2 linked regions of the Drosophila melanogaster genome follow. The protein of the gene in region 1 interacts with the protein of each later gene in a pairwise test. Each region holds a gene or a part of one and is shown on either strand. Other genes may lie near its edges.

The links.
Region 2: the proteins of CG10916 (region 1) and CG10973 interact in a two-hybrid assay, tested with the Drosophila melanogaster proteins (one large-scale study listed by BioGRID).

Annotation. Positions count from the first base shown.
Region 1 is NT_033778.4:18,171,857-18,176,243, forward strand, and holds CG10916 (uncharacterized protein), read left to right. Parts: upstream 1-1,812; 5' UTR 1,813-1,953; coding exon 1,954-2,745; 3' UTR 2,746-3,869; downstream 3,870-4,387. Other genes in the region: CG5726 (uncharacterized protein), read right to left, coding at 4,224-4,387.
Region 2 is NT_037436.4:12,752,739-12,756,676, reverse strand, and holds CG10973 (uncharacterized protein), read left to right. Parts: upstream 1-1,902; 5' UTR 1,903-1,958; coding exon 1,959-2,000; intron 2,001-2,057; coding exon 2,058-2,135; intron 2,136-2,460; coding exon 2,461-3,001; intron 3,002-3,063; coding exon 3,064-3,272; intron 3,273-3,274; exon of another isoform or gene 3,275-3,332; coding exon 3,333-3,383; 3' UTR 3,384-3,438; downstream 3,439-3,938. Other genes in the region: Vps13D (vacuolar protein sorting 13D), read right to left, coding at 1-272, 583-1,373, 1,435-1,531; CG10984 (uncharacterized protein), read right to left, coding at 3,520-3,693, 3,755-3,938.

The DNA of each region.
Region 1 (4,387 bases):
AGATAGAGAGTTTAATTAGCCGTTCTAATAATTTCGTTTAATAGTGAAATGGCCATTGTACATACATACATATATCTATGGCAAAGCACAATAAACAATGATAATGACAAGGCTATTCAACCGTTTATTTTTTGTTAGAAACAGCTGATTGCCGTTTTGTATTTGTTTATATAATAAAGCTTTGTTGACGTACGCAAAGCACAGCTGAAAAGCAACAAATGGCATAATCTCGTACGCATTTTTTGGCGTTTATTTATAGGCGGCAAACAAAGAGCGCAGTTAATGCGTCAGTGTGTGTGCCAAACATAGATATGTACTATGTACTTGCGTACATATGTATGTATTGTTTGTATTTTGGCAAACCAAAACAAACAGAAAATTTGCATATTATGCGCACATTAACTTGTTTCCATTGGAGTGGCGGCAAGTTTGGGAAACATAATTTGAGCCATTGAGAAACCGCACTAGCTGTAAATCAGCTGAATATCCATTTGTAGTTGTATGTTGAACTTAGCAATTAAAAGTGAAAGGATACGGGTGAACGCAGAAAAAGAAACGGGTATCTGGTCCTTGGCACTTACAGTTCATGCAGCCTTTTGTGCTCCTCTTCTCCGTCTGGTGTTTGTCCCTATATCTTTTCGGATTTATTGCGAATTGTACATAATTTGTTTAGCTTTTCCCGTAAAATTGTTTTCCGTGTCCCGAAGCCACGTACCGCGCGTCGTTGCCAGATCGGTTGAGTATCGTAAGTACCTGGTGCCACTTATCGATAGCTAATTTTAAATATTTATAAATTCTTGTGTTAAAAATGACCTGAACAGTATTTGAAACTATTATTGAGCACAGGTGAACCTTTTATTAGTTTTTAGCTATAAAATCCAAATTTATTATATATATACATTACATATTTGACTTCCTGATTATGAAATACATTTGTTTAACAACTGGCATACACTTTAATTAGTCTATTTAGTAAAAATCTATAACAAAATAAAACAAAATTGTTCTGAAACCTTGAGACCTAAATATTAGCAAAAAGTTTGAAATTAAATGTTATAAGCGTTTGAGATCCATGTAAACTTACGAAATATAAAAATAACAGTATTTCTGGCACTACTTAAAGTCCATCTCTATAAAGCTCGTATCCGTTAATTTTAAAATAAAACAAGTGCGCCATACGTATTTAAAGCTCAGTGTGTAAAGGGATTCAGATATGGATGGTAACAGCAAAGAAATGGAAAATTGAGAAGCACCCACAAATGACCCATCGCCATACCGGATTCGGAAACTAATTCCCGAACAGACAATGGGCCACAGGTGCATTCACGACGAACTTGTTCGCAGAAGTACCCGGTTAAAAGCCTGTCCTCTGACTCACAAGAATAACAGGGATTTTCCCGAGCACCCTCTGCTCATGAATCTGGACAGAGACAGCTTATCGGATGCCCACCTGCCGCCCGAGGAAGCAGTGCAGTGCGGCACTAACGAGGACGGACATCATGCGTCTGGGCAAGGTACATTCTTCCCATAAGGTCATGTACATCCCGCAGCACGGTCAAGAGGTTAACGTTGGCACCAACGAAGTACTGGTGCAGGTTTGAAACGCTACTTTAATACAAAGTAAAGATCCAGTAGATAACCACAAAATGATAGCACAGTACATTATCTTAGCCAAAATAGAGTTATGATTAAGACGCTAATATAAATGTTACTTAATATAAATGTTACTTACTTAATGCTATAAGATATTTAAAGGATTATTTTCAATCAAGATTCAAACTTATTAAAATAACAGTATTTCTAGTATATTTGGTATTCTCCAGAGGTCATCTCTAATAAAGCAGGAAAGTTGATACGAATCGTTTCGTTTTCCGCTCATTGTTGTGAAATAAATTTGGAACAGAAGAATAGAGCCACACATATTCAAAGCTCAGTATCCATAGGGACGTAGTTATGGAGAGTAATAGTAGTGAAATGGAAGGTAACGGCGGAAAAATCGCAGAAACTGCACCCACAAATGACTCATCACCTTCACTGAACATTTTATGTGCAATTTGCAACGAGTTTTTCCGGGCCAACGACATAATTTTCTCAACTTCACGGTGCGGTCATGTATTCCACAAGGACTGCCTCACCCGATGGCTGAATAGGTCCAGGACCTGCCCCCAATGCAGAGACCCATGCGACCGACGACGCGTGCACCGATTGTACCTAAACTTCGCCGAGGCCCCGGAGTTCGATGACACCGAATTGCCCAAGGTGGCCATGGATTGGGTGCCCATTGATCTGGACAGAGACAGCTTACCGGATGCCCACCTGCCGCCCGAGGGAGCTGTGCAGTGTGGCACCAACGAAGACGGACTGCCCACGTATGTGGCCAGAGGATATTACCACGACGATCTCCTGCCTGCTCCTTATGTACCGGAAAAGAAGGCTGCCTTCGGTTCGCACAGCTGTAGCGCCCGAACTCTGACCGATGATGTCGAGATCCTGGTGCTCAACGACTGTGACTACAAGTGGGTGCCCGGACAGCATGGAACATATCCGCGGGATGCTCTGAACACGGGCTACTCCGAGCTGGGTGAGGTCACCTACACGGGTCGTGGTCTTTACCAGGGTATCCTGCGTCTGGGCAAGGTGCATCCTTCCCACAAGGTCATGTACATCCCGCATCATGGTCAAGAGGTGAGCGTAAACACCTACGAAGTCCTGGTGGTCACCCCACGTGACCAGGCAGATCGATGATGCTGCTGATATCTTAAATCTCTTATGCCTTATTGTATGAATCTGTGTTATAAATACATATGTACGTCTTATTCTATTTTTGAAAAAAATCGGATCTATTATTTCTGTACTTGTTTTAAATTCGCTTATCAGTAAGCCAAGATTTGTCCCCAATTTCTTTAATCAAGCGAAAAATTGATAACTTTGTTTTGACTGCCAGCAAATTATGTACAAATAAAAGTCCCCATATACATATGTATAAGTTAGTCTGCTATTTGCTGCCCTCAAGTATGCAATTCTTTATAATAGTTTGGAAAGTGAAGATGTTTGTGACTAGACACGGGTTTAAAAATATTTTGACCTTGACTTGATCAATGCCTACGATAAACGGAAATCTTGGTTTTTTGTATATTGTATCTAAAACGGACCAACTGTCTTCAAAATGGCAAGATTAATAAAAACTGCGGTCTTAAAGCTTTCTTACTATCGCTTTTGTAAAGTATGCACAACCGAGAGTTGCCCACAGAAGTTCTGGAAAGTGGAAACGCAGAAGACGAGGGGAGTCACCCACAAGGATTCGGAAAATACATTCATCCAATCAGGTGATGTAAATACGGAGGTAAGACTATGACATTCTGCTGGTGATTTCAAAAGTTTTCAAAAGAATTTGTTTTAATGTTTGATTAATGATAATGCAATTTTTTTGTTTTATTAAAAATGTGTTAGACGCTATTTATATGCTGATTAGTGTTTTGAACCTACGCATGTTGCGAACATATTGATTATACCTAAACAAAGAGGTTTAAGTATCTATATAAGACTACTCGTATAACTCTACAATTCATGTTTTTCTCTGCACTCCGGCTTGGCTTTGTTGTTCCAACAGAGGGCCTCACAAAATTTGCTTTAAAAATACGTAAGCTTGTATAATTCGTTTAATAAATCGGCTGAACCTGCACTATAACATGACATTTAATATATAAGTATATATTTAGCTAAAAATACAAATTTTTATATGTTCAACATGCTTTTAACATTTCACCAACAGGCGTTTTACTTTTCAATAGAAATAGGATTATTTTTGTTTTTTCATTGACTTTGTACTTAGTTTCTAAGCAATTTGTATATATAAATATAAAAATGAGTGTGTGTGACTGTATTTTGTGTGGGAGTGTTTATGTGGCGTGGTTGTGTGGGACTACACAAGACATTCATATATATATAATTGGTATTTACAAATTTAGTGGCTCCAATGTGTAATGCATGCATGCTTAATATTCTTTAAGCCTGGATTTGAGATGGATTTGTTTTGTGATTGGTCTAAATTGTTTTGTATTGGTTTAACATTTGAGCTCAGTTGAAGACAAAATAATGTGAAAACAGTCTACGTGGATATACACATCCATTAGGAAACATATACGAAGGCGAAACAAATAACTTCTAAACGGACTTCAAAAACAATTTTCGTACATGTGGATGACTTCGTAAAGTGTATAAACTCATTTCTGGGCCGACAAATAGTTCATGTACTGAGTGGTCTGCTGGGCATTCCGCACCAGCTCGCTTTCCTCCTTTCCGGATGGTGGTTGGCCCTTATCCGCCTGCCCCTGCCAGTTCTCCTCGTTCTGCGGCTGATGGATGTCTGGCTGGGAGCGGCGTGTGA
Region 2 (3,938 bases), on another chromosome or scaffold:
TAGGCTTTAAACTCCTTATCTGCAGCGGATAGATTTTCGTTGGGATTTAATATAATTGATTTGTAGAGCAGCATGTAACGAAGATTTTCCTTGAGCATTAACCACTTTTCCTCATTTTTCTTAAAGTCAAATCCATGGCATATGGTGGCGTATTTCCACCATGCGATTGGATTACTTTCTACGGTGCATGTGGGTCGCTTTAGCCTGTATTGTCGAACTTCCTTAACCTGACGGATTTCTGACAGCTTATCTAACATTTGCAGTCGCTGGACCTGGAAATATTAAAATAATTTATTAAAACAAATAATAAGCATATCAAATATGGTGATAACAACTGCGTCATGGGAAGTACAACTGTGTTTATTGGGGTACAAGTTCATTTTGGGGCTTGGTTAGATAGAAATAAGCAAATTTGTTGGTGATTGATATTGAACCAATATTATTCATTCACGAATAAAATGTATTGTTTGATAATCGCTTAAAAAGCAATCGAAATATGTACCTAATTCTGATGAACTTTGGACCTCAGTAAATTACGTCTCATTTAAGTGTTATTTGTGGCTTCAAGTTGGGCTTAGTTACCTTAGATATGTCTATGACCACCTCGGGAACCAGGAGTTCACAGGAAACCCTGGGTTTGTCTTTGGTACGTATCACCTGCTGGCATTTATCGCGCTTCCACCTGGCCGTTGCACAAATGGGCTTGATGATGAAATTGTGGGACCTCAGTTCGCAGGTGGAGTGCATTTTTTCGAGAATCTCCTGGTTAGAGTACGACTGACATTTGATGTCCTCGTGCAACAAATCCCAGTAGACCGAGAGCTCTTTGAGCTCCACCAGCTTGTAGTTCATTTCGTTGTTGTTCATTTTGTAGGACCCATTGGTCCAATCACAGTCGCAGCTCTGGGCGGTCAGAGATCCAATCTTGATGCCCGTGCATATCTTGCTCTTGCCGGTGTCCACGATGTCCTCGAACCGAAAGTGCACATCGGATATCTTGAGTTCAATGTTGTCAATGATGTTGGTGGCCATGTTGGTGCCATACTTCAGCCAGTTATTGTAGGATGAGAAGTAGTAAGACTCCATTTGTTTGCCCTTTTCGGAACGCCAGCCTGCTTCTGCGGTGTCCAGCACGGCCAGCTTATACTCCAAATCCTGCAACTTCTCCTTCTCGTAGTCCCAGTTGTCCAGGTTCTTCGGACAGATGATGCAGAACAGGCCCTCGATGGAGATGCACCATGGCGATGTCCTGAACTGGCGGACCGGAATCTGGAGTTTGATTTTACGGATACTGCCGGCGGTGACTTCGACCGGCAAATTGAACGAGCGGAGGGCATCTTTGCGTATGGGTATGTTCTCGAGCTCAACTTCGCCTGCGGGAAAATATATTGTTTATGCGATGCGGAATAAAGATAAACAATTATATCACAGTACCCGAGAGCAGTGCCACCGACAATTGGGCGGAATTCAAGTTCTCCAGATACTTTCCCAGATACGTGTTCAGCACCCACGTTATGAGGTCTCGCAACATGCTTGTTTATTAACCACTGACGCTAATCCTATTAAATATTTGTTTTTAATTCATGCCCTAAAACCACAACTATAAACATATGATTGGGGACTATCTACACCGCATAAATATTGCCGAGTCACAAATGGAACAAGTGGAATCGGAACAGGTTGTGGGATTGGATTGTAGTTGAATAAACAAGTGGTTTCTTTGGTTTATTTATTTCATAAATAATTTAAATGGGAAGTAGTTAATAAGATAATATATATCAGTCCTAATTTCGGGTGTTGCTTAAGTTTGAAATATATGTAAATGATGTTTTGCCGATGTAGCTATCAATCAGATTGGTATCGGATATCGGTCTTGTGCGATATTCTTGAAATTCCATCACTAATTATTGTTAAAAACAAAAATTTTATTGTGATTGCTACAGAGTCTATTTCCCAAAATGACCGATCCAAACGTGCCAAGAGGAGCCCTAAGCTTGCAGGCAAGTAATTTGGGTAGAGTATCTAGTGAACTTCAATAAAATGTATATTTTTCTTAGAATGTTCTGAAATATACGGTGCAACACCACGATCCAAATCCAGAAGCAGCCCCAAAGTTGGAAACTCCCGATCCTGAGGTATGTAAACAGCTCAAATTGAGAGAATTTTACAAATATTTAGAATAGTTATTGTGTTAGGCTTTAAAACACCTCAAGTAGTTATACTTTCTGAATAATTCACAAGTGTGTCCTAAGCAGTGAGTCAATCGAATCATCTAGAACCTATGTATTTGGCCATGTGCTCCTCCAAATGGAACTTCTATTGAAAGCCAAATTTGTTTGGAAATTACTTTTCTGGCACTTTGTACAGTAGTATGAAAGCTCTTTTTGATATAACAAAGTATAACATTAGTTATTGACTAGTTACTTGGAGCTACAATATATAAAATATTTTATTTTTCAGAGAGCTCAGTTTTTGGCAAATGCCCTAAATGCCATGACAGTGGATGCTGCAGCGGCCCTGAAAGCAGCTTTGGTGATCTTGAACAGCGAAGAATCCAGCACGGACGACCAAATCGAGAGTCTGGATGTCATAAGGAGCCACATCGATGACATCGACAATGCCATAACGCTGGTGAAGCTAGGAGGAACTGCAACTCTACTCCGCTACATAACACATTCGGATAGCGAAGTGCGAGAATCGGCACTCAATACTGTCGCTGAAGTGGCCCAGAATAATGTATTTTGTCAGAACGCCCTCATAAACGATAAGTTTTTGCCTGCACTTGCAAAGAACTTGAGCCATTCGAATCCGAATACCGTGCGGTGCTCCTTGTATGCGATATCATCGCTGATAAGGAACTTTCAGCCTGGATACGACGAGTTTAAGCGCATAAAGGGGATCAGGTCCTTGATACCCTGTCTGAAATCCACAAATACAAATGTCTACGTGAAGACTGCTTTTCTAATTGCATCGTTAACTTCAATCGAGAAGTCTGTCAGAGGTAAATTGAAGTAGTAATTATAACCCAGTGTTTGAAATCCTAATTATTTGTATTCCCATCAGATGATTTTGTGAAGGAAGAAGTGTTTCCTGTGCTAGTGGAAAACCTTAAGCCCGTTGATGACTTTGATATCAAACAAGAAACTACGCTTTTTGCACTTTCATCTCTTTCGCGGGAATCGGAGTTAAAACTCTCTACGGAAAAACGAGAGGAAATCCTATCGAAGCTTCAACAAATTATTTCCAAAAACAAACAGTCGGAAACGTGTGAAGTAAGATTATTTTATATATCTATTGTTATGTATCAAATTTCATACCTACTTTATTTACAGGACATGGTTAATTATGCAAGAAATATTTTTGACAACTTAAGTGCACATTAAAAACAAATCGATTTTTCACGTAAATGTTAAGTTAAATAAAATGGGCTTTGAAAGTATCTCTAGTTCACAAATCTTTCGAAGAAACACATTCCTGTGTTTATAATCTTGTAAAAATTTATTAATTTCAATGCGTCAGTTATGTTGGCAATGTGTCAAAGTCGTCACCAACTGAAACGATCGGAACGTGCTCCAAATTAACTTCAATCGGGTTGTCACATAGCCTATTTCGTTTTGCAAATATATTCCAATCCATCACCTGCACGGCGTGCAGACTTTCCGCCTCGTTATGATGCCGCAACACCATGGACTCCTTCAAAGGTAACAACAATTAAGATTTACAACGAAAAATATTTTGTTTAGGGTCAGCATACCTTAATTTTCTCCCACTTGTCATCAACATCTTGCAGCCAGCTGAGGAGCAAACGTCCATTAAAGCGGCAACGAGCACTCTTTTCCTTTTCATCCTGCTCCGGTGTGATCATGTTGTAGACCTCGTCGTCCTTCAAATACGTGCAAACGGAATAGGGCGCCGGCTGTCCAGATATGCTCCTGGCC